Linked DNA regions of Arabidopsis thaliana. The protein of the gene in region 1 interacts with the protein of each later gene in a pairwise test. Each region holds a gene or a part of one and is shown on either strand. Other genes may lie near its edges. The genes, in order: NAC012, HTA13, AT2G28200 and MYB105.

Region 1 (8,249 bases):
TAAAATGTTATTTAATTTGAATTCTACGTAGATATTGCTCATGCATGATAGTATGTATCTAAACTATTCAAATAACTAACTACGTGGATATTTTATAATCCAAGTAAAAAGCAGAAAGTGGGTAACTACGTCAGTATGACTATACTTTTATCGGAATTGCTTGACATCCAAACTTTTGCTATGCTTCACCAACCAATGCAGTTTCACTTAATTATTAACTATTGACTATGTCTTATTAAGTTAGCACTAATTCGTTAATCATTCAAAACGTTATTTGATTGAATTACATATTACACTCTCTTTCTGCATCACCACTCACACCATATGCAACTATAACCAACTCATCACATTCAAATGTATTAATTGGATTTTGGTGCGAGATTAAAAATTGAAAGGAAACAAAATATGATAATGGGATAAAATCTTGAACGGAAACTCAAACTAATCCTCATAAGGTATAACAAAATAACAATTTAAGCTAAGCACAACAACATACAAGTTCGACCTTTTCCTTTGATGATCCAGCCCAACAGTTCTCTTATATCTCAAACCATTCGACCATTTGAGCCAAACTAGCTAAACCTGCAGGAATCAAAACCAACAAAGATTCAGATTAGCTAAACCGGTTTCATCCCTTTGTCACATGACTCACATCCGTCTTCTACATAACGATTTCTAATGATGTGAGCTCTTAACTTGCTCCAGCAAGATCATCAACTTTGGAGCACCTTCAATGATTTAGTTAACATGTTAGATAAATTAAATATTCTTGTTTCAATATATATCAACTTTAGTGTAAAAGCCTTAACATTCTCTTGAATATTTAATTTATTTCTCCTTATTTCGATTTAATGACAAATGTGAATTAATTTTTGTGATATTTTTGTTCGAAATTAGTTTTCAGTTAATAACATACATGTGAGCATGGGACACACATGATTTAACAAAAGGGAATGACGAAATGATATATCAAAATATTAGTATGGGAACAAATTACGAGGTGAAACTTCACACTCAACTCAATTAAAACTAGAATAAAGAAATGGAAAAAGTGAAAGAATGAGAGGTCAAATGTGGTTAATCATTATGTGGTATTAGTTAATCCATCAATTGTGTACCCAAAAGCATGATTAAGCATAGAATTTAGAGAAACAAAACATCATTATTAATGTTGAAACACAAAGATCCCATCAACAGACAAATGATAAGTACAGTGCATGTAGGGTAACAACTTTTATGTACATGTTATATACTTATATTATATAATAAGAAAACGATTAAAGTGTCATTGCTCCAGCCTCTATTTGTAAATCATATTATATCAGTATGCTTAATTCCAATAATTAAGTCCATAACTAAAATATATACACATATATGTATGTTAAATGGTTGAATATATACATATATTTTCATAAACAAATATTGCTAATTAATTCAGTTATTTGTGTACATAATCCAACTATCACCTTTTTAGCTGGAAGTGGATATTCCAACATGTCAGTCTGTCACTCCCACATTCATACTCTCTATTCTTTTTAGCTATTTCAATATCTACGGTTAAATATTAATGGCTATATAGCCTTACCCTTCATTTTAGTTTTTTTTTGGTATTCGCATAACCATCGAATACTCAAACTTACTATGTAAGATGGTCTGAATAACTATTTCCGATTTAAGATGAATAGCTAGATTGAAATATACATGCACTAATTGGACATGCACTAAAGGCAGAGGTGAATTAAATGATGAAATGAAGATGAAGTGTCACACTTGTGCAAAAAGCATGTCCCCTGCTCTTCTCCGCTTGTTTCAATTTCTTTGACTTTCATCACGTTTTTGTCACTTAAATACACCAAAAAATATAGTACAATTAAACATCGAAAATCGTCCAAAAAGAAGAAAAAAAATCATGGAAAGTTCTTTCGTTAATGTTACACACATTATCTTGATTAGGTGACACCAGATATTAGAATAAAAATGATAGATTATGAAAAGAAAAAAAAAATTGATGTATTTTTAGGATACATCGAAAGGAATGAACATACCAAAAACATGGGAAAAAATAGATAACTAATTAACATGGTAGAATGTAGATGACGTAGATCATGAAACGAGTGTGTGATATATTAATGAAAATTATTTTAATATACGTAGCTATATTAGAAAATAATTTACATTTATTTTCTTCTAAACAAATCTATACTTTATATTTACATACATTAGTAAAGACCAAAACACATGGAATTCAAATTCTGCAATAAGTAATTGCAAGAAAACACAAAGATTAATCCCCCACTAAACCCGTTTATTTACGTTAGTATTTTTCCGTTTTATACATTACACATGACATGACATTACACGTCAAAAGAAATATGTCTTACGTCAGAACTTACGTATGATCAAACTCGATTTAAACATAGAAACATCTGTTTACTAAATTATACTAATTTCATAAAGACACTTTAATGCATGAACTTCTTTGTTTAAATAACAATTTCCCCCTTTTGGGGGCTATGTCTCGTCGAGTCCTACCACCATTATAAATTATCTCATCGTTTGCTTTCTTTTTTTTAAGTTGTAACCATTTCCACTCGTAATCATACAACTTCTCTACTCTTCTAGAGCAAAAACCCAAAAATATATTGCTATCTTCGTTAATGGCTGATAATAAGGTCAATCTTTCGATTAATGGACAATCAAAAGTGCCTCCAGGTTTCAGATTCCATCCCACCGAAGAAGAACTTCTCCATTACTATCTCCGTAAGAAAGTTAACTCTCAAAAGATCGATCTTGATGTCATTCGTGAAGTTGATCTAAACAAGCTTGAGCCTTGGGATATTCAAGGTTAAACCCTAAATATGAAAAAAAACTCTTTCATTTCTACGAACTCTCTATTTCTTTGTTCTTTATTTTTGAACCATTTTGGTATGCAAATGCAGAGGAATGTAGAATCGGTTCAACGCCACAAAACGACTGGTACTTCTTCAGCCACAAGGACAAGAAGTATCCAACCGGGACCAGGACGAACCGGGCAACAGTCGCTGGATTCTGGAAAGCTACCGGACGTGACAAAATCATCTGCAGTTGTGTCCGGAGAATTGGACTGAGGAAGACACTCGTGTTCTACAAAGGAAGAGCTCCTCACGGTCAGAAATCCGACTGGATCATGCATGAGTATCGCCTCGACGATACTCCAATGTCTAATGTAAGTATATATAGCAATCATCAATTTGCAGTTTAGGTTAGAATAAACAAATTACAAACTTATAGTCAAAGAATTAGCTAGATTCGTTTCATGCTATAAAAGGTTTTGGTTCATTTAGTACGCACTAGAGCCTTCTTTTAGCATCTGCAATTAAAGTAATCGAACATGATTCTCTGAGTTACAATAAGATAATTTCTTATGAAATTAACACATCATATATACATTTATATAAAAAGATTTTTTCACAAGGCTTAAAATAGTTTAACACGGCTCTACAAACAATACGTAGTTAACTAGTTATGGTTGCATATCCAAAAGAAAAACCAACATAAAAGATTTTTTTTTTTGTTTCAAAATAAAAGTTGCATTTTTACATCATCAAGATTTAATCATCTCTTATTGCATTTCATAAGATCGATTTGTGTTCCATTATCAGGGCTATGCTGATGTTGTTACAGAAGATCCAATGAGCTATAACGAAGAAGGTTGGGTGGTATGTCGAGTGTTCAGGAAGAAGAACTATCAAAAGATTGACGATTGTCCTAAAATCACTCTATCTTCTTTACCTGATGACACGGAGGAAGAGAAGGGGCCCACCTTTCACAACACTCAAAACGTTACCGGTTTAGACCATGTTCTTCTCTACATGGACCGTACCGGTTCTAACATTTGCATGCCCGAGAGCCAAACAACGACTCAACATCAAGATGATGTCTTATTCATGCAACTCCCAAGTCTTGAGACACCTAAATCCGAGAGCCCGGTCGACCAAAGTTTCCTGACTCCAAGCAAACTCGATTTCTCTCCCGTTCAAGAGAAGATAACCGAAAGACCGGTTTGCAGCAACTGGGCTAGTCTTGACCGGCTCGTAGCTTGGCAATTGAACAATGGTCATCATAATCCGTGTCATCGTAAGAGTTTTGATGAAGAAGAAGAAAATGGTGATACTATGATGCAGCGATGGGATCTTCATTGGAATAATGATGATAATGTTGATCTTTGGAGTAGTTTCACTGAGTCTTCTTCGTCTTTAGACCCACTTCTTCATTTATCTGTATGATTATCTATACATACACATACACAAAATATAAAATAAAGTTTGTTAAAAAATGTCTCATGTTCTATTGATAGTACGTCTTGATTTTGGGGTTTAACATTTGTTAATGGTGGAGGGTAATTTTTTTATAATATTTATAATCATAAAATTTACGAAGTTAAAGAATGATATTATATACAAAACTTGAATAACGACTCTTTCAATTGCTTACTAAGCTATTTTAGAAGTCATTACATTTAGTTCTTTATCTTTGACTATTAAAGCTAAAAGATGTCCAAAAAAAAAAAAAGCTAAATGGTAGAACTTTTCACATCCCTCATCTTTCATTCTACATTTCTTACATGCCCACTATTGAATTTGAATCCAAATTATGATACGAAGATTGCCATATTTGTACAACCACGAGAATATATGTTTATCGCTTAAATCTTTTGTATTTGCGAATCATAAAGCCCATAGGCCATAGTGAGAGTTAATATTCGGTAAATTTGTACTTTGGTTCAAACGCACATGGTGAATCCGTATTTTATAAAAAACTTTCTAAATTAATAATGAGTTAATGACAGAACTATGATGTATATGTTAATTTATAGTAATATTATTTTTTCTATAAATTTCAAATCTCAAATTTTTTAATTGTATTATCATTTAATATTTTATCTTAAAACTAATTTGAAAAATATGAGTAGAGAAAATTGATCTTAAAAAAGTTTACTGGTTTGGATATTATAAATTTTATAGTTCCAACTTGAACATTTTGATATTTAAAATAAAAATCTTTTGATGGTGAATTAGAAAGTCTATACTCTATAGAATTCACTTATGCAAAAGATATATATATATATATATATATATTAAATTAAAAATAAAAATCTTTTGATGGTGAATTAGAAAGATATATATAGTCTATTGAAATGAAATGATACATATTCGAAATTAAAATTAAAGATTCTTAGATTAAAATAAAAAACTGAAAGAAGTTTTGGCTATTTTGATGACGAAGTTATAGACGATACTAGTTAATACTATATTTTGAAAACACAACAAAAATAGAGATGAAATCTAACGTCAACTTTTATTTATTTATTAAACAGCTAAAACTAATACATTAATATATTTTGAAAAATTATTACTATTTTATACATCTGAATTTTTTTATTTTACAATATTCCTATTCCAGGAATGTTTTATAATATTTCTTAATTTTGTGAATATTAATTTATATGTTTTACTGTATAAAAAACTAGCATATAACACGGCTATTTTTATTAGTTTATCTGGATAAAGTATCATTGTCATTTTGATGAAGGACTTGTATAATGAATGAAGTGATACTTATTTTGACTTTCATCTAAGTAAAGTGTACCAAATAATAACGCAGCGTAATAAGATTCTCGCTTCGCTATAATTACTTCACCTTTTGGTGCAACTATGTTATTTTTTCATTTTCGTTGGAAAATCCTCATGTCGTTTTTCTTGTGCAAATACGACAATCCAATTACCACTTATCAAATTACGTAACCAATAGTTTTTTTTTGTTTTTCTTTTAATTTTCTGACTAATATTACTAAAAAAATAGTGATGTTATCGAGAAAAGTGTAGAAGTAAGCATATTGGAACACACAAAAATGTCTGAATATAGTTAATTATACGGATCAAGAATCTCGTTAAACGCAAGATAATGGATCCAACTTGGCTCGATTAATGAATTGGAACAATGTCACTAATGAAAGAGGCTACAAGACACGATTCAGTTAAATGCAGTATGACAGTGCATTGTCTTCAAATTGTATATACGGAGACTTGCATTGGGAGATTGAACATTAGCTTGATACTTCAGCATGTCGATGGAAAACATAGCCATCAACATTTTAGCAATCGAAGTCCGAGTGAGCTGATTAAATTTGAAAAGGGCATGGGACATTATATTGTAGGTGGTAAAGCAACCATATACTTCAACCTTAAGTTGTTTCTTATTTTTGCTTGATAAAAATAACAAACCATATATACATCATTTCCCTTCCAATACACTAACAAAGTAACAAAAATAATTAAGATGCTTAAAAAATAAATATTATTACAGGAATTATAACATTCTTATGAATTTTAATTCCTTCTTTTTTGAAAGAGAAATTTGTCTAAAAGATTTGAAAGAGAAACCTAAAAATTTCCATTCAAGATAATTTAAGGGAAACAAAAATTATGAACAAAATTTTACCTAAATTAATATTAATCTATTTTTAAATATTTGTTTTAAATTTCTCAAATATTTTCAGAAAATATATTATTTTCCCAACTAACTTGTAATTTTCAGTAACTACAAATTAAGGAACCCGTTTATACATTCACTGTGAAAAATGTCGTTGAATTTCCCTACAATTACTATTTTTTACAACAAAATAAATTGAGGGTCATAATTCTGTCTATGATCCGAAATTATTGATTCTGGAAAATAATTTGAAACAAACAGATGGTAAGTCATAATCTCACAAACTTTTGTCTATATTGACTCTTTTTTCCAAAATAAAAGAGTTGTTAAATAGTTTTCAAACGTTTTGACAAAAAAATAAAATAATAGTTTTCAAACTTTCTGATTAGGACTAACATTAGCCTATCTATGAAAGCAATCTCAAATTTGGGTTATGCCGACAGATATTCATCACACAGCCTCTTGACAAATATTCGACCACATATCTTCGACTTTATACATTATAACCTGTATAAATTAACATTGTCAGACACAAACAATTTTATGCTCTAATTTGATAATTGTTGTTAAAACCTATGTTTTATTGCCTTTTAAAAATATTTGAAAAATAAAATTGTTGGCTAGTGATTTACATTTGAAATGTGTATTTTTTTTCTATGGGTATAACCGTATAGCATAGCCTACAGGGAAGAGATCGATTCTTTTCAAGAGTCTGATTTTTTTTTTTTTTTTACTTCGTACGTTGACCACCCATAAACATCTTTAACGGCAAAAAAATAATACACGGAATCTATGGGCCATGAGGATTAATTTGGGTTTTGGCCTAAGATTCAAAATTGTTACCAGAAAAAAATATATTAAGTAGTCATAATTTACAACTTACACGGACTAAATAAATTATATCAAACAAAAACCATAAAATTGACATAATGTATATTAATCACTAATGTTCTTTTACTTCAAATAAATGATGTAAAGATTTTTAAAGGCATATCAAATCACTTAGCTATCGCTTTTTTTATCCCTTACAGAAATGACATTAGTATCCACAAGTGATGAATAATTGAAATCACTTTTGTATGTTCATCCTTGGTCAATTTCAAGCAGACTTGTGCGTTCGGAACAAGGTTTCTATGCAAAAGGCTCAAAATGGAGTTCAATACTTCAATTAGTCTCCTGATCTGGTTTTCACATCAATACTCAACTAATTCGTCTTGATTTTGTAGGAGCTAAAATTAGCAAACATTACGTAAAGGCAATTGAAATCAAAATCACAAACATTAAGGAAAGAACATGAGATGAGACGAGTTGATGAACTCTTCCCTTAACCTTTTAAATCACCCGTAGTGTGACAGTTTCTGTGTGATTTAAGGATCTCAGGATACAACCTCTATAAACTGATTTTGCATCACTCGAAACTCAACTCTAACGAAAATAGTTACTACGATACTCTCGAGACTTACTTTTAACAGAAAGAGATTGTTGGAGCTTTTGCTATTGCTATTTGTGTGTAACTATCAAAGACTTCACTGTGTCTCTCCAAGACTTGAAGCATGACCTATTTATATAGGCTTGAAATACTTAGGTTTTTAATTTGTTTCTTCACAAAATCAAGCAGAAATCTAGGAGGTGGATGACGTGAAGGAATAACCACTCTCTCCATGAATCCTATTCTCAAGGAATCGAGAAATATAAGAGACCAAATCTTTCGGTGACTCGTTTTCTCCTTTCAAATCGGACCCATCATATACCGGAGATTTATCGTGAGCAGGCCAAAC
Region 2 (7,440 bases), on another chromosome or scaffold:
AAACGTAAGCGATGCCGGATAAAACTGCAATGCCCGCGGAGAAGAAGTAGAAAGTTGACATTCCGGCTACACCGCGTTTGCTCGGTCCAATGGGTTCAGTGGCTAAGACAAACGCGGTTAGGCCAACACCACCGGTGCTGAAACCAGTCAAGAAACGGAGAACTACATAGGTCCAGTAGTTTGGGGAGAAAGCTGTCGCGATACCAAAGATTGCGTTGATAATGCATACAACTGTTAGCGAGCCTTTTCTTCCTAGCTTAGAGTCCGATAAATGTCCGAATACTCCTGCACCTGCACATTATTGAGTCGGTACACTATCATTAGGCCATGTTTGTAAGTTGTAATTAGAAAATGTAATCAGAAAAAGGTATACAGTAGTTAAACTTTGGTTAAAGACTTATCAAAGATTTGGTAAGTTCATCGGGACCATAACGCATGTATGGTCTACATAAAGTTGTTTTTTGAGATATGTTGGACCAATGTTTCACAATCTTTTTTTGTTGACATGAAAACGATATCTTCAACCATGGAAGATGACGTCTTCATGCCAGTTACATGTAAAATTTTTGACTAGTATGCAACTCTAATTGGATATTCCTTCGTATATCCTATTCATTGTATAATGTGTATCAAATGTAGAGATTGGATAATCCAGAGCCAAACTGTCCTTTTTTATAAAGTAATCTAAACATTAGCCAAAATAAGGCAAACAACTGTTGGTTTTTCTATTATTTAGGTGGGTCATATTATAATGATCATTTTGTTTGTTTGTTTGTGCAATTATACATGTAGTTAAGATGTTTTTGGCCTCGTTTGTGTCAAATGTGAACGTGAATGTTGTTAGCATCATTCATTAATATCATCATATAAACGCTAACGAATACTGTGTTAACCAAGACCATAAGTAGATGTAAAAACAATTACGGGATGTCAAACATATTTCAAACTTTCATCAATAAGTATAGTTCAAATTTTTTTTTTAAAGTAATGAAATGATGTGGATGAACTTATGTTTTTACGACAAAAGAATCATGATTTAAGTCTGAAGCGTATAACCCAATGTTTATTTGCAGACAAGGCCAGAGGGGCAAGCCATGCCGCGAGAGATTTGTGTGTTTCGACTTTACAGATCAATGCAACGAATTAAGAAGGAATTTTATAACTTTAAACCAAAAAAGCGAACAAGATAATATATAATGTGATCAACTCGTTAGTCAGTCACACGTATATTATACATTTTTTTTGGGTCATTTTAGTAGTTTTGTTTTCTTTTTTTGGCACCAATCATACCTATCAAAGTCTATCTTTTCTTCTTCGCCAATCATTTTTTTTACGTGTGTAAACTTGGACCGCCTAATGGGTTAAAATTTTAAAGCATTATCATCCAAAATTTATAATATACTATAGAAATGAAAGGTATATCGGAAAAAAAGTGAGGTATATCTTTACTCTATAGTGTTATTTTCTAAAATTCGGATAATCATAAAAGATTCATGTGATCAAGGCACGTGGTACGAATATCCAGATTCAAGCCAACGTGCCCATTGATCTGCTCTTACTAATTTATTGGTGCGATCGATATACACTAGCTAAGTTATGCACACAACTAACAACTAATTTATTGTTTGTTGATATATTCATTAATTATCGGATAATCACGTAAAGAGCTAAATCCACTAAATTACAAGTTCATAATTTTAGAATGATTTTTTTTTTTGTCTTATCGAATTAGATAAGACACTCAGAAACTATACTAAACTCCTAATTATGTATTTATTTATTTTTCTTAAGAAGATAATCCAAGATTAGAGTTTAATCTTCTTTTTTTGACTGTAATTAGAAAAACTATTCGACGTGAAAAAAATCATTTTCACGCTACAGCTGTAATTTACTGTTTTTGTAATTTTCCTAAATCACAAAAAAAATATAGAAGGGAAAAAAAAAACTTACCGATCATGCAGCCGGCGAAGAAGAGAGCCTGAACAAGACCAACTTTATACTTGTCGCCGCAAATCAATCCCCACTCCGACACCGTGGAGCTCCCTTTACCCGCCGTCCATTCCCAAGAACTCGGATCCAACTCGCAGTTCAATGACCCGACCCGACAATCCGACCCGACGCATCTCCACTCGGGTTCTTGATCGGCAAATATCATCACCATCGTGTGGAACGCCTCTAAAGCCCAAGCAATACACGTCAACACGAAGTGTTTCAACTGCCACCTCCCAAACTCGCCGCAATATCTTTGTAACATCTCATCTATGCATAATCTCTCCTCTCCCTCCGCTTCTTTCTTCACCGGAATTTTCTCTAGCAGCGGTTGTCGGACATCGTTACCGTTTCTATCCTCCGGAGATTCCATAATTTATGTTTTGATTTTTACAGTGTTTTTGTTTTTGTGTTTGTGTTTTTGTTTAAAAGGCGTTCTTGATTTGGTTTGACGCGAAGAAGGAGGTGGCTTCTTTGTCGTATTTATATCTCTTGTTTATCGGAAAACAATTTTTCCTTCTTTTTTTCTCTAGCGTTTTTTATTCTCTTTTGATTTAGTAACTATTTTTTTTTGTTGACGATATTGACTACATGCTCTGCTTATATATATTTTAACTATGTCATGTTATTAACGTTTATGAGTTGTCACTTTGAAAATTAGTAAGACACATCATGTATTATTTCTCAAATTAGTATTGTACATTTCATTTCAAAGTCAAAAACACATGATTCTATATATGGTTGATTACCTAATGTGTAATCGTGAATTAGTAATTAATACGACATGCTAAAAATTGATTAATCATGTTTAGAAAAATATATACTATGATAAACCTGAAATTGTGTCACACAATTTTGATGAATGTATATACCACATTTCCATATTATACGTTTTAAAAGTAAGATTTTCATAAATTTTAAAATTATTCATAACATTCACTAAAATTAGATGTGTATAATTAACAAACTAAAAATATCATTAATCTACTATTTTAGTAGTTATTTTGCGAAAATATGTTTGAGTTACAAAATATTTTCACTATTTAAATCATGTCGATTATACCCACTGAAGGGTATTTCCGTCAATCCCAATTCTAACAATGAATTCAGGAGTATAAAAACGTAAATTCAAGCGTGCCAATTATAAACCGTCGATCATAATCTAATCCAACGGCAGTAACATCGATCCGCGTGATTGTTTATTATTGGATAAGAATCACTCAACCGTCTCTACACAGTATATATAATAACCAAAGAGCGTCCTCTTACGCTTATCTTAATTTCCCTCGCATTGAGAATTTTCAACTTTTTCTATCTCTCTTCCCAAATCACAAATGGCGGGTCGCGGCAAAACTCTCGGATCTGGCGTTGCTAAGAAATCAACATCGAGAAGCAGCAAAGCCGGTCTCCAATTCCCCGTTGGTCGTATCGCTCGTTTTCTAAAGAACGGCAAGTACGCAACACGTGTTGGTGCCGGAGCTCCGGTTTACTTAGCCGCCGTTCTCGAATACCTCGCCGCTGAGGTAATTATCCCCTTCTCTCCCTATATCTCTTTACTCTTTCGATCTTCAATTTCGTAAAACCCTAATTTCTAAATTGGATCTGTTGTGTTGTAGGTATTGGAATTGGCTGGAAACGCAGCTAGGGATAACAAGAAGACTAGGATTGTGCCACGTCACATTCAGCTCGCGGTGAGAAACGATGAGGAGCTGAGTAAACTGCTTGGAGATGTGACGATTGCTAATGGAGGTGTGATGCCTAACATTCACAGTCTTCTTCTTCCCAAGAAAGCTGGTGCTTCAAAACCTTCCGCTGATGAAGATTAGATTAGGGATTTGTGTTGTGGTTGTTTAGCTAATTAATGTGTAGCTTAGTCTTTCATTAGATTAGATCTGAATTAGTTTTCATTAATGGTGTTGTGTAGTCTCTCTTTTGCTTCAAAAACAAGTATTAAAATCTTATTATTTTGAATTGAATCCACAATCAATACACATTGAAGTCCTAACAAACTACTTCTTCCCAGTGATATTTGAAACCAAATCACTAAGAAACTTAGCTGATTTGGTAATAGGAGAATTCATAGCCATCAAGTTATACAGAACAAGCTCAACTTCTTCGATTGATGGTCGAGAATTGAATTGTGAAACAACTTTCAAAGTACCATTACCTTCTTCTTCTTCAACGAGAACATTCCATCTTTCTCCACTCACAACACCGTCTCTTACACACTTAAAGATCACTCCTTTTCTCTTACTAAACACTCCTCTCACTTCTAAGCCAGTGAACGCATAAATCACTTCAAAGGAACCAATAAAGCCATCTCCAAAGCTTTTCTCTTCTTCAAACAACCATCTCGGATTGATCATTACTACAGGTTTTGTAGAAAAAGCTTCACTCGCGGTCTTAACATCCTCCAGCTGCGATTTCTCCGGAGCCATGAAGATCGCCACGTCAGCAGATCTCAGAGCTGTTTTAAGAGAGTCTGAGACCGGAGACATGGCAATGTGGTGGATAGAGTCTGACCGGAAAGCTTTAACGGCGGGATCGATGAATGAAGGGTTAGGCCAGAGGAAGAGAAGCTTGACATTAGAGCCTCTTCTCGAGATGGGTAAGTCATGAAAGATCGAGAAAGCGAGCTGAGAGAGTGACGAAGGAGAATCATCGTCAAGGATTGGGATTTCAAGACGGAATCTTGGTTGTTTGAGCTTCCTGAGTTTTGGGGAAGCGAGTTTTGGGTTGTTTAAGGGTTTGATGAGACATGAAAGGAGACAAGTTTTGGCTTGATTAATGGCTTCTTCTTTGGAAAGGGGAGGAGAAGAAGAAGAAGGTGAAGGAAGAGAGGAACAGAGAGGAGCGAATAAACGAGTAGTGGTTGATTTGTGGTTGAGCTTTGAATGCTGTTGTGAGAGTGATTTGGAGAAATGAAGATGGAAAATTCTGGAATTGGGAGGAGATAACGAAGGAGGAGATGGGTTTAGAGCTTTGAATGTCTGTGAATTGAGTTTGAAGAGAGTCGAAGAAGCCATGGCTGATCTCTGATGATGAGGAAGAGAAGAGAAAGAGGATAAGGTTGTTCAAAACTTCAAATAAGAAATGAGACAAAACCGATCGAGTTACATAAACGAAAATTTGATTTCGGTTTGGGTCGGTTTATATAACCAAACCGAAAATAAAGTAAACAAAACAAAGGAATTGCTTAAACAAAAGTACCTTGCTCGTCACTTGTTGTCTCTCTGTTTTGTAATTTGATAACTTATAAATCTTCATTATATAATTGCATAAAGAGATGAGAAACAAATTAATATTAAAATAAGATGAAAGCAAGAAGACTAATTCATAGGTCTGGTTAACTTGATTTGAATAAAACTTGGAGCATAAGAACACATAGGACCTGGTGTGCATAGAGAGTCACCGAGACCCACTGTTTTGAGACTACTTCACAGAACTTGGTACATAAGAGCACACAAGACGGCAAAGTGGTTGATATAGAGGTTCACGGAGATCCGCTCTTCTGAAATAACCATTCTCTCCAACGATGTAAGCTATGTGGACAGTGGATTTGAGCCCCTCTGTCTCCTCTTTATTAAAAAACACTACGACTTTCTCTTCATCATAAATCAAGTATCCCTCAGTCAGAAAAAATCTTGGTGTGTTATCAACTTTTAAGAACTTGCTCCACGAGACTTCATCGGGCTCAATCTTGTTCGTAACCCAAATATCGATCTCAGATTTGCCACCCCGCCACCGCTTTACTAACACCGCAAGCTTCTCTTCTCTTACCACATATAGACTCCCCAAAAATTCATCGATGAAGGGTTGAGGTAGAGGCAGACGCGGTCCGAATCTCTCTCTAGTAAAATCAAAGCATATTAAATAACAATCTTCTGATCTTCTATCTTTAGCATACCAGTAAGTATTTCCCTTCAAAGACACGCCATCTTGCATAAACGCTATATCCCATTTAAGAGGGAAACTAGAAACCATCCGTGAATTAGACCTCAAATTGTAGATTTCAAGTCTATTAGGGTAACTATCGAAAACCCTTAAGATTTTGTGGCAACCACAAGATTTGTCGTATCCGAAAGCAAGTTTGTCAAAACTTGCAAAATTATTTATGCGTTTGACCCATTCACGTTTCCCCCAATACGGGTTACAAACCACAAGCCTAATACTATCATCAGTGATGCTTCCGTATAACAACAATAAACCGTTGCAGTGAAAGACATTGAATATTTCCTTGAATATTAGATCTAAATTTTCTAGGTGAAGAATACCTTTATTCTTTATAGATAGATCAATAATGTTGTTGTTGTTCTGAATACCATGGAGATTGACGCCAATTGAATAAACCTTACAATCTTTAATCATTATCAAATCTCTTTTCCCTGATGCGGTTACATTGCCGATGTGCTTATTTGCAAAGCTCCGATGTTTGGATAGAACGTTCCAGGTTTTGCAAGTAGATCGCATTGCTTTTAAAGATATCAACGGAAGCCTAGAGAGAATCTCCTCCACCAAATCATGTGGAAGATCGGACATCATCATCGTCGCTGTTTCAAATTTCGAACAAGGATTGATCTATTTGGCGCAGATGTTAGGTCAACTTTCATAAACTCTTTTCTTTCAGACTATCGATAGATTGTTATTGAAGACACATAAACCCTAGTATTTAATTGTCTGAAATACACAAAACTCTCAAACATCCTTGTTTATTGGGCCACTCTTATTTTTAGCCCATTGGACGTATTATCCTTCCGCTCACGTGGCACAAAAACGATTGAGTTATAAACAAAATTTTTGGTATCGGTTTGGGTCGGTTTACCCTAAACCCTGCTGTTAAATTCAAAGATTAAAAGTTTTTAAAGACCAATCCTTCTTAGTTCTTACCTTCGTTTGGTTTTGTCAAATTAGTTGATGTTATGTGAGTGAAGCAATGATGAGGAGCTGATTTGTTATCGTTTTGGTAATGATGTCACTTGTGTATAGCTGCAAAGTTAAGATCCATTGCGTTGCGTGTTCGCTTCTCTGTTTCACACTCTTGCTTATAGTTTGATCACACCATGAAGATCACTAGGTTTAACAGAATAACACTGAGAATTGTATTATACTGTAAAACTAAAGTCTGTGTTGTGTGTATATGTCAAGACTCATGAGCAATGTCTCCTGCTTGAATCAACTCTGTTTCTAAGCATTTTTTACAGTCTATAGGTTATTAAGCAATGAGTTAACAAAGGTAAATTAAGAACCATGTTGAGAATTCGATTGCAACCCAAAATAGTAAAAATATTAAATAACTTAATTCATTATCAGATTGGATAAAAGAGAATGAGAAAACAATTCAAAGAAGTTGAAAGCAAAACGAAAATGTAAAAAGGACTAAACCTGGTTTACTCGATTTGCACACAACTTGGAACATAACAAGACACAATACGGCAAAGTGGTTTGTTTGGA
Region 3 (8,219 bases), on another chromosome or scaffold:
ATTAAATGAGTTCCAACGGATCTTAATATTCTTTGATTAAAACCTAACACATCTTAACAAAAAGTGAAAGCTTTTTGCTTTTGACAAATCAAGCAATGGTATTTTAGATGACTTTATATATTTTAAGTTTGATTTATCATTAGGTTACAACTAATAAATGATTTTTTTATAAGAGCCACATATAAACTAAGATAGAATTATACTATTTGTTATGGGAATTGAGAGGAAAACAACAACCTGCAAGTGAAGTAAAGCAAGCGAAAGAGTGGGTTGGATCCGGTTTTGTAGAAATAAGATCTTTTGGTTAATCCTAACTTGGAAGCTATGTCACATGTAATGCCAGACTCATACCAACCAATTAAAATTAGATAAAATAATTATGAAAAACTAGAAAGGAGTTGGCTGTTATTTAGAAATAAAATATTTATACCATAACTTACTGTAGATTTTTCAAAATCGTTTAAATTTTTATAACGATTGTTTAGACGCGAAAAGAAAATAAAAATTACAAAGACTAACCAACTGTGTAAAATCTGTAATCAGTAGCCTAAACTCGTCTTGGCCGTCGAAATAAACTAGTAGTATTGAGCATTTACATGCGATTAAATATAGTTGTTTCTAAACCTATTTTTCTCGAAAAAAATGTTTTTTAAGCATATATTTAGAAAAATAAGTGGAATGAGTTGTGTAATTGGTTGGATGATACAACTAAAGATGCGGCGGCGGTGCATCTTAACCCTTACGTGCCTCACACTTCCTTCTCCTTTGTCTTCTTACGCTAAGTATTTCTTTCTCTCTCTGTTTTGCTAACTTACATTATTCTTGTATACTAGTATCTTCAACATTGTACGTCATATTTATCTATTTCTTTGTTCTTTCATTATTTCAGTCTTATTTTTATTTTGTTCTTAATCAAAAAGACTTCGACTAGACAATAGACATTGGTGAGTTTAAACTTCTACGTATAGTTTGTTAAACCATAAAACGTAGGTATATAGAAGGACGCCACGAACTCAATTATTGTTAAAACAAATAAGTTCTTAAATATGAATTCCGGCTCTAAAACATGTATTGATCTAGATTACTATATTTGAAGAATGAGTGGAATAAAAATTGTTTTCTCCATTTATCTATGTGTTAGATTTTTATTCTATTAATTCTAGCTAGTAGCTAGTGATGACATTTTACTAAAAGTTTACTGAAAAATTCAAAAATTCAGTATATATATGTAACATGAAAATAAATGATAGTATAGAATAGTTTTTTACGTTGCTTTGATCCTTGAGCATGTGATAAATTGACATGCGTATAACTATTAGTTGCAAACCTAAACTCACTTTAATTTAATTATTTTAAAAATAAGAAACACTAAATAGGAGTATATATATATGTTTGGTTAAATATCATCCATTATTTTTGGAAGAATCTCGTCATGCCATGTATAGTTTAGCTTAGACAAATTTTATAACGCCATGTATACCTTACCTTAGCTTGGGACAAAAAAATCAAACCGAAATAACTGAACCGAACCGAAGTACCTTACCTTAGGTGAATCAATTAGCACGTATAGTTTAGAAGATTCTTATCTAACGCCATCTTTTATATTTAATTTTTGTTCTTTCGACCAACTCTAAGGATGTTTGGTTATGATAATATAAAAGCGCAAACAACTTGATGGATAAATTCAAATGGATGAATTACCCATGGTCGATGCAAAAGCGCCGGTAAAGTTGTTAAAACTATCAACCATAAGCTCGTTCCCATCCACTGTGTTTCGAGTGCTGATCTTATTTGGGAATGAGTCCATCCTTATCCCTTGTTTAAGATCTTTAAATTCATAATCACTTGGTTTCGTCCTAGCTATTTTTCCACTTGCTTTATTTTTTTTATGTTTTTTTTAGCAAAAACGGCTTTTTCTTCTTATAATAATTTTTATAGAGCTATAGTCTATACGTTGTACCATATTTTAACATTTCACCAAATGTACTAATTAAAACAGAGAAATCCAATTTATGTAAAATTATAGAGAGGATACTAATTTATGTTTTAGGAAATATAACGCGGTGAGTAAAAAACTAATTGCTTTTAGCCACACATCTGTTGGTGTCGTTGCTTTACGCAACATCATGCATCTCTTCTATTGTCTCCTAATTTTTTATTTACTGTTTTTTTTTCTTGTTTATGATTAGCAACCAAATCATTTCAATTATTTCCTCATTATGTATCTAAACATGTATACGTAATGAGTACATGGTTGTGTATCGTCTCGACTGTAAAACTGAAACCGATATAATTAGTTTTGTTAGGACCACTAAATACATAATGGTTTTAATATGAATATGCATGTGTGAGTGTATCTATTAAATTGTTGTGCAAAGGATGTGAGGGCCACTTTAAGTACAAGACAATAAGGTTTGGAATAGCCCAACGTGATTAAGAGTAACTTCTTCCAATCATTTCATCGTGTTATAGAATTATTGCGCCTAATCAAATCTTTATTAATAAAAATAACTAGGTCCTTTCTTTTATACTATAGCTTAACGGTAGCATTTATATGGTACGACTTACTAATAAGTCTAATTTCTCTATCAAGATTAAATTTTAATACTTGCGGCTATAGAAAAAGTAAATATAATGCAAAATCGTAATCATTTAATTGGTATAAATTGGTATATTCCAGTGGCAAGTTGTAACACTTTTTAGTTGCATACACATACATCAATACAAAAACAAACATGAGTATTTATAGTCCATAGTGGCACACATATTATATATGGGAGCAGCAATCCCTATGTAAAGTCAAAATGTTGCATGAAATTAGCAAAATATTACGGTGAAGGAAAGAAGTGATGGGTTTTGTGTATGTAACATACTTGCATCCCACACATAACCGTTCCTTAGCCCAAAAATTATGTTATATATATCCACTTGAAAATTTATATAAATTTCTATACCATTTGTCTTAAGAGAATATTTTTTAATATAATTATTATTCCTTCAAAAATGAATTTACTCTAACATTTCTTTTCCAATTTGAAGTAAAGACAATTATATTTTTCTAGTCAAAATCCATATTTAGATCCTATAAAAATATTTATTATGAAAAATATAAACCAAAATTTGATTGTAAAATTAAAGTAAGTGATATGATTATCATACTAATATTTAGAAGTGGTTAAAAATAAATATATTTTATTATTATTCTTCTTTCTTTTTCTTTTCTTTTTTTTTGACAGGGATTTTTGTTTTTTAAAAAGAGTCCTTGACAAGGATTTTGTGGTGTGGTTTAGCCACTATGCATTATACCTTATGCATAGATATGGGTTCAAGCCTCAATCTCCCACTGTGAGACTTTGAAAGTATGTTGACAAAAAAAGGTGTATAATTTTTCCAGAATAAATTATTTTAATCTAGTTTGCCTAGCTAAATTAAATAATTATTTTGAGGTCCCTAAACTTCATAATTTTCCGGTCTCTCAATCTTGACATAACTTATTCTCTGTCTATAGTTTTTTTTTTTTTGAACTTTTCTCTATAGATTACTTATTCTATAATCTATAAAGTATTATTTTTGGATGTACCGTGTAAACTCGTTTTAATGGTTAGTTGTCACTTGTCCATACAAAAATGTAACATTCCAATATTTGACAATAAAGTAATGTTACATAAAAAATTTCTATAATTTGAGTATGTTTTTTTTTTTTTTTTGTCGGCCTATAATTTGAGTATGTTAATTAATCTCAATTGTAAAAATAGATCTCTAATTATCTTAAAACTGTTTCCAGTCTTAAGATTAGTAGATAACCAATTGAGCACTAGCTTTCAACTCTCTCTACAAATGTTAATCAAGATATGATTAAAAAATGAGAGAAAAAAAAAAGTCGTGGTGTTGTCTCTTCACATTAACAAAGACTAAGCTTAATATTGTTTTTAGCCTAACATGCCACCGATGAATGCACCTAATCCTATAAACACCGGCCACTGCATGTCGCCTCCTAATTATGAACCATGTATGTCTGTGAATCATTATTTCCCTTTGATAATCTTATTAGTATATTTCAAAACATTTAATCAAAAGTTTTCTTGTAGTCGTCACGACCATTAATAATATGTAATATATTCTTTTTATTTGCTGTCGTGAACATTTTTATCTTTAGTTCTATCTATTTCGGTTCTCATTGAAAGCGTCGATTTGATGACGTGGACCTAAAGTGCGTGAAAGTAAAACCTTTGCTTTGTCCTTAGAACTGAATGTTCACACTCCCAAAAATTAAATTCGAAACTAAATAAATAAAAACAAATAACAAAAACGTGAATTGGTGGCCTAAGTGCCACTCAACACTACTAATGAACCTTTGCCTAATTCAGTGGTTAACTCTTCACGGGTTTCACTTTCCCTTTTATTTCTCCTACTTTTGCTTGAAACAATATTAATCATTTTCACTCGGAATTAATAACAATTCTCTGTTAATTATGGAATATGAATGATTCAAGAGTTTGATTAATCACACCAATTGATATTAATATGTTTGTTATTAGAAAGTATGTACTAGAAGAAGCTGTCTAATACAATACTAATAAATGAAAAAACGTCATGAAGGGTTGACTTCTGGTATATAGATCTAGGTAGAGATCAGATTTTGAAGATATGGATTAAAAGTAGATACAACAGAACAGAAACTAGAAAAGAAGAAAAATTATTTACATGTCATATTTTTTTCATCATTGAATTATAAATTTGTTGATTGATTTTATTGTTATGGAATTTGGCAGAGAAAACGCAGAAGTGTCAGGTAATGGGTATAGAGTGAACCGTCAAAATGTTATTGGTTAGCTAAAAACATTATAATAATGTAAAGTGGATCGATGTGTAAAATCTTTTGTGGAGTAAACTAAAAAGATTAACAACCACCAAACTTATAACCTCTCTCTTTTTTTTTCCGATAAATATATATATAAGCAGCCCCACCATCGTCTTCTTCACTGCCTCTCTTCTCTCTTCTCTTCTGTCTCTCTCTTGTTAGTTCACTCCACATAATAAACACCAAAGATTTCATTCTCTTCTCCATAATTTCGAAGTTTCTTGAATTGGGTTTGTTTCTTGATTTGTTTCTTGAATTGGGTTTTGGTCTTCTTTTCTTACTATATTTGGATATGATGATGGGTCAAGATGAGGTTGGGAGTGATCAGACGCAAATCATAAAAGGGAAACGTACGAAGCGACAAAGATCGTCTTCGACGTTTGTGGTGACGGCGGCGACAACAGTGACTTCAACAAGTTCATCGGCCGGTGGAAGTGGAGGAGAAAGAGCTGTTTCAGATGAATACAACTCGGCGGTTTCGTCTCCGGTGACTACTGATTGTACGCAAGAAGAAGAAGACATGGCGATTTGTCTCATCATGTTAGCTCGTGGGACAGTTCTTCCATCGCCGGATCTCAAGAACTCGAGAAAAATTCATCAGAAGATTTCGTCGGAGAATTCTAGTTTCTATGTGTACGAGTGTAAAACGTGTAACCGGACGTTTTCGTCGTTCCAAGCACTTGGTGGACACAGAGCGAGCCACAAGAAGCCGAGGACGTCGACTGAGGAAAAGACTAGACTACCCCTGACGCAACCCAAGTCTAGTGCATCAGAAGAAGGGCAAAACAGTCATTTCAAAGTTTCCGGCTCAGCCCTAGCTTCACAGGCAAGTAACATCATCAACAAGGCAAACAAAGTACACGAGTGTTCCATCTGCGGTTCTGAGTTCACTTCCGGGCAAGCTCTCGGTGGTCACATGAGGCGGCACAGGACAGCCGTAACCACGATTAGCCCCGTTGCAGCCACCGCAGAAGTAAGCAGAAACAGTACAGAGGAAGAGATTGAGATCAATATAGGCCGTTCGATGGAACAGCAGAGGAAATATCTACCGTTGGATCTTAATCTACCAGCACCAGAAGATGATCTAAGAGAGTCAAAGTTTCAAGGGATAGTATTCTCAGCAACACCAGCGTTAATAGATTGTCATTACTAGTTGTTTTTTTTACTACATAATATGATGAAATATTTGTGAATTCTTCTTACTTACTACTATATTGTTGATCATTGGAATTATTTTTTTTTTAAATTGAATCAAATATTATCATTTTTAAGAAAAGAGGAAAATGAAATGTGCAAGTTATAATGAAAGAGAGGAATATAGTGGGAGTTAAGTAAAGGGTTGTGTGATAGTTAGATGATCTACTTGTTGAAGTAAGAATAGTTTGAGTAAGCAAGTGGTTAGTGTTCATGGTTGCCTTTCATTCACGAAAAGTAAGTGACTTCCAAGGCATCTTTTCTTTCCCTCTTTTTAAGGTATTTTTTTGTTATTTTTATTTTATTTAACAAAATTTGCAAATTATGAATTACTAAAATTGTTTTTTTTCTTGAACATGTGAAGCAACTATTTGTATTACTTGAAGACGCCTCTTTTCCCACGATTACTTAGATTCTCCGTTTGCAGCCAAACGCTGTATCGTGGTGTGGTGTTCTGCGTTGGCAACAAAATATGTCATAGCATAAACTATCTAGAAAAAAAGATTAGGAAAATATTTCCAATATAAATCAACTTTTTGGTCATATGGGTAACGTATGACTTTGGAAGACGAGAGTTCAAACTTTCTTTCTGCAATTTTTAACTATGATAAGTTACTGTAGACGTCTAGAGTGACAAAACTATTTGATTTTATAAGGTTATGGAGATTAGTTTGGACTTTTGGTCCAATAGACATATATGTTGGTCCCTTTAAAAGTGTGACAATAAAATATCTGATTTTAATAGTTTCAATTTTTATTATTTAAGATTAAACTTAGAATACACCTGATTATTAGAAAAGAAAACTCTAATAAAATATCTAACTATTTTTGTTACTTTGCAGAGATAATAATAATGTCTCTGTTACGACTTTATGCTATAAGGACCAATGCTAGTTTGAGAATTTCCTCATCATTCTCATTTCATTACCATTTTGTATATACGAGTTTGAATTCATATTTTCAAAAAAAGAAAATTTTAGAAAAACATTATCATGTAAAATTATTGTGAATTGATACAAAAATAATAAATAAATAGAAAGGCAGTGGACACGAGATGGACGTGGTGATGACCGGCTTAGGGTTTGGCAAGAGAATCACAACCACAACTAAATAGACGTGGATTAGGTTCTTCTTTGGTTTTGGGTTGTTATTTTTTCTGGTCACCACATTTACACTTTTATAAATATATGAATTATTTTAATCAATTATGACAGACTAACAATTATTATAACAGAACAGAAAAAGAAAAAAGAGCAGAAATCAAATAATTAAAGAAAGGAAAAAGATAAACAGTGACAGCAGAAACAGTCACAAGATTCACTCACCGCTTCACTCCTTGCTTCCAGTCCTTCTCTTTTAGGATTATTCTTGCTGTTGTATCCATGATCCAACTTTTATTCTTGCAATTATTTTATAATTATTCTTGTTCTCTCATGATCTGAATTTCTTTATACAACTTCTATTTTTAGGAATTTATTTTATAGATTAGTGAAAAAACTATAGAGCTACAATGAAACTAAAGGTGGATACCATTGACTCTCATGATTCGCTAAATCACTAATATTCATATATATGTAATATATATTTGTGGTCAAGATATCAAATGTATATATAAAAACCCAAGTCAGAAAAATATATCAAATGTATATATAAGTAGGTGTCATTTACATAACTATAACTACTAAAAGCGATACTTTTTCATACTGATCCACAAGTCCAATAGTACTCGAGTCTAAATATGATTGTAGTATTATTTTTACTCTTAAGTATCACACTCTTTTCCACTAACATTTTTTTTTTTTCACATTTTTGGTGAGTCGAAATGTTCGATTAGCATACTAGTCGACGGTTATGTTTATCTAGAATTATTAATAGAAACACATTTCTTTCTACAGAAATATATACAACTTCTAGTGTGAATTTAACTATTTTGATTAAGGTCTCTGATTGTATTTTGATTTATCCTACAATAATTTACTTACTATTGTTCGATTTAGCATTGCATTGGATATTTGTAAGCTAAGAAAGCAGTGTTTTTGGAGTCTAGCATCTAGGCTCCTCCATGTGGAAGCAGCTTTTAAAGCTAAGACCCTTGGCCAAAACCTTTCTCTCTTCCAAAGTGGGTGACGGTAAATCATGCTCCTTTTGGTATGATGATAGGACT
Region 4 (7,870 bases), about 14 Mb from region 1:
AATATGAAACCAAAGAAAGCAGAGCATCTTTCACTTTCATATTTGGATTAAAGAGAAGAATCCAACCACTGGCACTGAAAAAAAGCTAAAAGAAGAGCATAAAAGTCACTTTTTCTAAAAAGCAATTATTCTTTTTTTTCCAATGTCTTTTTCCATTCTTTTTGCACCTTCACTAATCTTTTATACTACTCATTTTGATTATTACTTGATATGTTGTAATGTTTCTACTTATTAGTATGGATACTTAGCTTGTTGCTCTATACCTATTTTTATAACCATGTAATTCCAAGATTTGGATCATAATCATTTGAGATTTGACACCAATCTTTGTTAATACTTTCGAGTCTTCCATGATCATGAAACGTAAATATAATGTCCTTTCAAATGAGACTTAAATGCAGATTACAAAACTTTAAAACAACAAAAATATTACTTGTTAAACTGTCAGCATTTAAATCTTTCGATTGTCTAATAATTTAATAGAATTATAGCATATCACATTTTGAGAGGCAACCCAAGTTCATGTTATATAGTTGATCTCATATACTATTCTTCCACAAAAAGTAAATAAATGTTTTATTTGTTTTTGAGCTCTACAAATATGTGAAAATTAAAGGTCCATAAAGACTGGTTCTTTTAGCTGCACAAAAAGCTTAAAATCCAGTTACGTTTAAAGAATAAGCAGGGAGGCTACGCATGTTCTTTTCCCAAACCGGAAGACTGTTCTAAGTTGTTGGTGAGTTCTCATTTTTAACAATGGATACCGAAGGAACACAAAAGTTTGAGGTGCTCGAGTGGAGAGAAAGAATAAAGAATAGAAATGTACTTGGAGAGCAAATACTTAAAACCATACGCAACATCGGTAGCTCAAACATATAGAAGGGTTTTGGAAAATTCGTTACCAAGGTCTAGTCATCATAAAAATTGCAAATGATTTATTAACTGGAATCATTATTATCATACGACTAAAGACTAAAGTTATGAAATAGATTTCTTAAATGTGAAAGAAAGGAATAAAGTTAGGTAGACTTTGTAGGAGGCCACTCAGCTTTCACCTGGACCATACGTATATGTTCTCGTAAAGTAGTTCAGCTTTTTTAAGGAAACAAACAGAAAAAATTGTTTTCTTTTTGAATAATAAAAGAAAAAGAAAAAGTCATGAATATTTAATTATTGGATTACATAAGGAACTACATTAACATGAATGTTCCTTTGATAGAGGTTTTGGTTTGATATTTACTTCAACACTTATCTGTTTTCGACGTTTTGATTTAAATTTTAATCAACCAATATATACGTTATTGCTTTTCACTTATCGTTTTAAGAACATCTAATAAATTAGAAACAAAATTGAGATATTCATTCTATATTGGTACTCTCTCGCTCGAGAAATTGAATCACATCGGTTAACATAAAAAAAGAAAAAGTTGAAACACTTCCAAACAAAACTGAAATTGGGTCCGAGAATGGGCCTAAGCCTGGAATAGCAATAGATTTTAAGTGGTGCACATTGCACACTCCTTACCGTTTTATCCTTTTCTTGTGGATCTTATGGAACCTTAAAAAAAAACAATTAACAACGGGAAGTGTTTAGTGAAAAACGGTATTACATAAATTTAATCTTAATTTCATAAATCAATCAATTATTTCGATTTAGTCATAGAAATGTGTTAAGCTGGACTAAAACTACAATGACGTATACAAATAGTATCATGATACAAATCAAATGATTATTACAATGAACAATAACTAGGAGAAGGGGCCATGTGGGTGACATGAGGTCGATGAGACGCATAAGTAAGGGGCAATGAAATGAAAATATGTTTTTGCTTTGGAGAGAATAAAAAAATGCAATGGGTGTGAGAATATTAAAGAGTGGATGTTTGGACTTTCTGTTGCAGAATCTGTGCCTGAATCTTGCAACCTCATCAATATCGCATGTTGTTATTAAACTTCTGCATACTCCAAATAAATACAATGTAGTACATTATTCCTTTTAATTTGACTTCTCTATCGTTCTTTGTCGTTTCTTATATCCACATCATCGTCCCTGTTTTAACATATGTCACCTTCCTCTTCATATACGAAGCATGTTGTTACTCTCACTCCATACAATTTTTGGACATTAATGACGGAATCTGACATTTTCATATAAGATAAGAGTTAGTTAGAACTATAAAGTGGTACAAATGTTTTACACTTCAAATCAATTTTGGTAAAGGTGAGACAATTTGGCATCTACATAAATGAAAGCATTGATTTTAACCAACGAGTGGTATATATGTACGTGCTAATTAACACGGGGTAAGGAATGTTGCATGTGACTAAGGACAACAACATTTAATCTACAATTATTAACGCAACATAACTACATCGACAAGGACTCAAATCATCTCATAACTTTTGTTAACTAACTCAAGCCAGTCTTGTTCATGATCGATGATGATCACACCGTCCCCAACCCAAGAAAATCGAAAAATGGTGGTTTCTTCTCCTCATTGATTCTTTCAAATATCTCACTCTTCCCGGTTTGGTTTAAGAAATCGAATGTAGTTGCCTCTTGTGTCCATGCAATGTAATCGCCAACCATCATTTGGGTTTCGAACATATCCACCATTAATGGACTCTCATTTTCATGATCATAACCTAAATAGTACAAAAAATGGAAGAAAATTAAGAAATGATATGGAATTAAAAACTGAAAGAAAAGAGAACACAAAAACTCAAACCTGGGAAGCAAGGAACTGGTAACATAAGCTGCTTATGGTCACTACTAGCAAGGTGGGTCAAAGCTAACCGGGTAGGGTCAAAATCATTGAAAATGTGAGGATTAGGGTTAATGAGTGGCTTAAGAGAAACCATCGTCTTCCTCCTACGGTAAGAAGAAGATTGTTCCCTAAACTTGCGAGCCATTATAACATGCCAATGGTTCTTCACAGAATTATCAGTCCTACCAGGGAAAAGCCTCGCTATCATCGCCCATTTGTTACCATAAAGCCTATGAGCTTGCATTAGCCTCTCTTCTTCTTCCTCAGTGAAGGCTCTTCTATTTATCCTTGGGTCTAGTTGGTTAAACCATCGAAGCCTACAGCTTTTCCCTGCTCAACATTAACACCCAAAATCTCAAGAACGTGAATCTTGTAAAAGCTTAATCAAGTGACAGAATTAACGTACCGGATCTTCCTTGGAGCTTCTCAGCTATGAGGTTCCAGTTTTGTGGACCGTAGACGGCGACTAGTTCTTTGAGCTTAGTATCTTCAGCTGGTCTCCAATGTCCTCTAGACACCGAAGCTTTTGACGAGTGTCCACAGCTTCTATAGACTGTTGTGTCTTTCTTGTTGCAATTACTGTAATCACTTAGATTAGGGTTCATGTCTTCTTCTCTATGACTTGTGTAGTAGCTACGGAGATGTTGAGCATTGTCGATATTTAAAGAGAAGTAGTCCGATGAAGTGGTCTGATCCATCGAATGGTGTTGATCTTCCGACATGATACAATGTTGTTGTTGGTTATAGTGATGATGTGAGGACGAAGACAAAGAAGACGGGAAGCAAGGTGTTATGGAGAGAGACGCCACGTCAGCATGCACCATCTCCATCCTCATTGGAGGAGAAGAGCAAATATTAAATATGACTTTGAACATCATAATTGATATTTGTGTGATATTATTACGTATGGCTCTAAGCTATGTGCGTGTATGTATATGTTGTGACCTTGTTTTCTGACAAAATGCTGTTATACAACTGTTAAAAGGTTCATGGACTGTCACGGACTGATTTGAAAGCTGATATATATTTCTATACATTTGTATTTATGCATTGTAAATTGTTTTCAACACTCAGTTTAATTTACATTCTAGATATTTTAATTTAGGATTATTGTATAAATAGTATTATTATCTCTGGTTTAAGTTATAACCAAATAGCTATAATCTACATTTACAATAAAATCCAATAACATTTTCACAATAATTGTCACTACTTAATTTTGAAAAAACTAGGAATGTGGAAACGTATAGAGATGAAAGAAATAAATAAAAATGCTAGGACAGAGAAAGAGTAAAGGACAGGGAACACGTTTCCTACGTTGTGAGCAGTGGAGATGTGTTTGGAAAAGTGGAGAGAGATGAAAAGTTGTTAAACATCCGTAAACATCTTTTTTTTTAGTTCAACTGCTTTTGTTCTTTGTTGCCCCAAACAAAACATCATATTATTCTACGATTGCTTGCCAAACAAAATCTTGGTATTATCTTGTTTGAATTTCGAACTATGAATATGATCTTCTTCTTTTTCTTTTTTGTTCAAGTAACAAGGCGATTTCACCCCAAGTTTTAACTATTTTCCGCTTGATACATATGAATTAAGCGTTAGGTATTCTTGTCATTTAATACATTCATAGTGGTCACTGCTCATGCATTATCAAAGTTTTGAATTCTATCTCACAACCAATTTGAATTAACCACTAAACCATCACAAATTGGTTGTTTATTTGTTTTTCCTTTACAAAGAAACCTACAATTTACAGAATCTTTTTTTTTTAAAAAAATAATTAATGATTTTGTTGTTGTTGTTGGTTGCTACCGAAAATTGGAAATAGTAATGAGGATGAAACTAAACATCTGAAGTAGTCCCAACTATAACAGCCAAAAAGGCTCAAAGCATACATTTGATTTGACTCTTGCGTCTTTTATTTTCTAACCACAATTATATCTCTCACGCACACTTCACATGTCTTTTCACCAATCCCCATTTATCTCTCACTCTCGACATTTTGATGGTTTATATGAAACCCTCTTTCTACGTACATAGCCGGTCTCTTCATAATGTGAATGTTAATGATCTTCCCAAACGAGTCCGTTTTTCATATAGTCTTGACTACTTGTTGCCATATCAATTCTACCATTTACTGATTTTAAAATTAACTATCCAACCATATGTCGCAGAATTCGCTGTTATAAATCATTTTTTTAAGGGATCGGCTAGACTTATTAAGTTATTATCGTTAGAATTTCTGTCGCAATATGAATATTCATAACACCATAATGCAATTTTAAAAAAGAATGTAAAGTATTTCTTTTTTTATTATTAATTAATTGTGCAGCTATAAATGCATATACGAAACATATATTATCCCATATATACAAAGGAAATACCTAGGTTTGGTGAGACTTTAAGCATAACGTAGATGTATTTATTTGACCAAAAAGATATCAATTGGCAGAGGAATACATTATCTCAGATTCAGAGTATTTGCTGCAGACTTGTACGGTCCATCTGCAGAGATTAACTCAACATTTCCTATGGTCCTTTTTTCTTGGTCAATAACTTTGAATATATACTTTCTTAATTTACACTAAATTTGTGTCATACAGTAGATGTGAGAATGGATAGTTACTTTTTCAAAGATACGCACTAACAAAGTAACACTAACCATTAGCAGGTTAATTAAGGATATCTACACCCAACCCAATTACCTTCACTTTTATTTTGTTATCATTTGAAAAGAAAAAAAAGTATATGTTATCTACTTATTTAAGTTAACAAGTATTTTTTATTTTATTTTTACAAGTTTTCGGGGTTCGTTTATAAAAAGCCATTAAAAAAAGGTGTTGATTTTTTTGGTGACGTCTGTTTCAATAACTGTAGGGGATAGAATTATTAGAATTGAATTTTCAGTTTTAAATGTGGAACATATACAATATATAATGTCGGGAAAGGAAACAGATTCAGAAATTAATGCATAGGATCCAATTCATATCAACAGAGAAATGTTTTGCGAGTCTACTGTGGTTCATTTTCAAATATGCGACACCACGAACTGATTTTATAGCGTACCATGTTCCATCAATTCAACAACACGTACGTGCATGCTCTGCTCCTCATTTTACTATACCTAAACACACGCACATTGCTCAATTATACATCGATCATTTCGGAGCACATAGTGACATAGCCAACATAGGCAATAGCTAGTTTAATAGACTAGCTTTGGGTCTTACTAGGCACAAAGCCTCATCAAAATATAATACGGAGATTTTAAAAAACAAAACTATGGAATTATTCTACAAACTTCATAGACTAGTTTAGAGTTCCCAAATTCCATAGGTTACAAAAGTGTCTTGTAAGTTTTTATACTTAAAGTTAAGAGTTTTCAACTAGCTTTCGCTAAAATCGAGTTTAGTACGTTTCATTTGATTGGATTCAACCTGCTTTTGGTTTAGGATGATTTCGAACCGACCGAAAAAACTATACAACATGGTGGATTGGACATTAAAACAGGAAAACAAGTGATGATCGCATAAATGAACAAGAGACTGAAACAGGAGGATTTTTTTAAAAACAATGTGGACATGTACACGAAGAAGACTCACTGTTCTTAGAGTCAACAAAAACCTCATGATGTGAAAGCTAACCAAATAGTAACAATCTCTCAAATATGGGAAACGAATTCCCTAAATATAATGACCTGTCTATTATCATAGCCCCATTGCTCTATTTTGGGAAATTTTATAACCTTTTTCTCCTCAAATCATCACCAACACAACCAACAAAAAATGTAAAACCGTACCTTCAATCAACACTATAGATGTTGTGGCCTCATTCATTACATTCAAATACAGAACTACGTATATGAGTTGTCACGTAAAGGAGCAAGAAATTTTAGCCTTCTTTAAAGTTTTCACCTAGATTATACATTTTTTTGCAACATTTTTTTCAACCTGGTCTAGAGAGGTTATAATTTTTACCGACAACATTCCAAAGTTTCAGTATTCGATCGGCAATAGATATTTGCATGAAATTGTGAATAAATTGTTGGAATAAGCAAGCTGATAATCCGTACCAAAAATTGAAGAAGCATAAGGAGAATAAGTTTAAGCAAAGAGGCTGAGCAAAGTCCTTCAATGAGACTAATTTTCTTTCTTATTAATTTAAACAATATTAATTAATTACCATTATTAGTTTCTTTCATTTTAAACACAAAAATTAATTCTAATTTTACTAATTAATTTCTCTGTGATATTTATGTATTGCTTTTCAAATATTCAAGTAATGTTTTATATTATAAATTAAATTCAAGTACTGTTTTATATTATTATGTAAATTGAAAATACAAAAAATAATATAACTAGACTAATTTGGTAATTTGGTTTTCTAACCACACTCAAATCGCATCGAAATCAATTTGTCATTCAAATATGATGTACTCTCATCGCAAATAAGAAAAAATACATTACGGCACACATTACACATAAAAGCCCATAATGTTACACTTTGATAAATAAATCCTAGTGTCTATTATTGGGTTATTTTGGGCCTAAAAGCATACATTACACATTAAAAGCCCATAGTGTTTATCATCATCCTCATCGTTGCTGCTTCTCTCCTTCCTCTTCCGCAATTGATTTTCTCTACAAATTCCTTCAGCGCTGCAACCAACAGAAGCGACGTAATCCTCATCGTAGGTTCCCGAATAGACTCCAGCGTGATCAACGACTCCGATCCGCTTCTAAAATGTATTTCAGTTTTCATCAATTGTTTATACGAGAAGAAGAGAACGAACAAGATTCTACGAACCGGTTCAGATTCCGGTTCTCATCCACAATGGTAAACCGGTTCGCCACATTCTGGATTGATTTCATCGAAACCAATGTACCAAAATCCAAAACCCCTCCTTTTGTTATACTTTTTTTCATTAAAAGGCTTAGCATAATTAGATAGTCCATTAATTATACAAGCCCATTGAGCCCATAACGTATTAATCTGATCTATATACATTATATTTTTTTCTCAATTCCTTGTCGACCACACAAAAGTAAACATCCGTGAAGCTTGCTATTGACTTACTGTAGCGTTGAGTCAATGGAGTCAAG

Evidence for each region.
Region 2: the proteins of NAC012 (region 1) and HTA13 interact in a two-hybrid assay, tested with the Arabidopsis thaliana proteins (one large-scale study listed by BioGRID).
Region 3: the proteins of NAC012 (region 1) and AT2G28200 interact in a two-hybrid assay, tested with the Arabidopsis thaliana proteins (one large-scale study listed by BioGRID).
Region 4: the proteins of NAC012 (region 1) and MYB105 interact in a two-hybrid assay, tested with the Arabidopsis thaliana proteins (one large-scale study listed by BioGRID).

Annotation. Positions count from the first base shown.
Region 1 is NC_003070.9:11,861,359-11,869,607, reverse strand, and holds NAC012 (NAC domain containing protein 12), read left to right. Parts: upstream 1-2,453; 5' UTR 2,454-2,657; coding exon 2,658-2,844; intron 2,845-2,939; coding exon 2,940-3,205; intron 3,206-3,641; coding exon 3,642-4,265; 3' UTR 4,266-4,379; downstream 4,380-8,249. UniProt on the Arabidopsis thaliana protein: Transcriptional activator of genes involved in biosynthesis of secondary walls. Together with NST1, required for the secondary cell wall thickening and lignification of sclerenchymatous fibers and secondary xylem vessels (tracheary elements).
Region 2 is NC_003074.8:7,226,149-7,233,588, forward strand, and holds HTA13 (histone H2A 13), read left to right. Parts: upstream 1-3,241; 5' UTR 3,242-3,323; coding exon 3,324-3,512; intron 3,513-3,605; coding exon 3,606-3,815; 3' UTR 3,816-3,998; downstream 3,999-7,440. Other genes in the region: OCT4 (organic cation/carnitine transporter4), read right to left, coding at 1-291, 1,951-2,362; AT3G20680 (plant/protein (DUF1995)), read right to left, coding at 3,999-5,015; AT3G20690 (F-box and associated interaction domains-containing protein), read right to left, coding at 5,422-6,534; AT3G20700 (F-box associated ubiquitination effector family protein), read right to left, coding at 7,377-7,440.
Region 3 is NC_003071.7:12,019,168-12,027,386, forward strand, and holds AT2G28200 (C2H2-type zinc finger family protein), read left to right. Parts: upstream 1-4,772; 5' UTR 4,773-5,153; coding exon 5,154-6,014; 3' UTR 6,015-6,203; downstream 6,204-8,219. UniProt on the Arabidopsis thaliana protein: Probable transcription factor that may be involved in stress responses.
Region 4 is NC_003070.9:26,153,483-26,161,352, reverse strand, and holds MYB105 (myb domain protein 105), read right to left. Parts: upstream 3,652-7,870; 5' UTR 3,647-3,651; coding exon 3,175-3,646; intron 3,099-3,174; coding exon 2,730-3,098; intron 2,647-2,729; coding exon 2,447-2,646; 3' UTR 2,259-2,446; downstream 1-2,258. UniProt on the Arabidopsis thaliana protein: Probable transcription factor that involved in boundary specification, meristem initiation and maintenance, and organ patterning. Functions in both lateral organ separation and axillary meristem formation.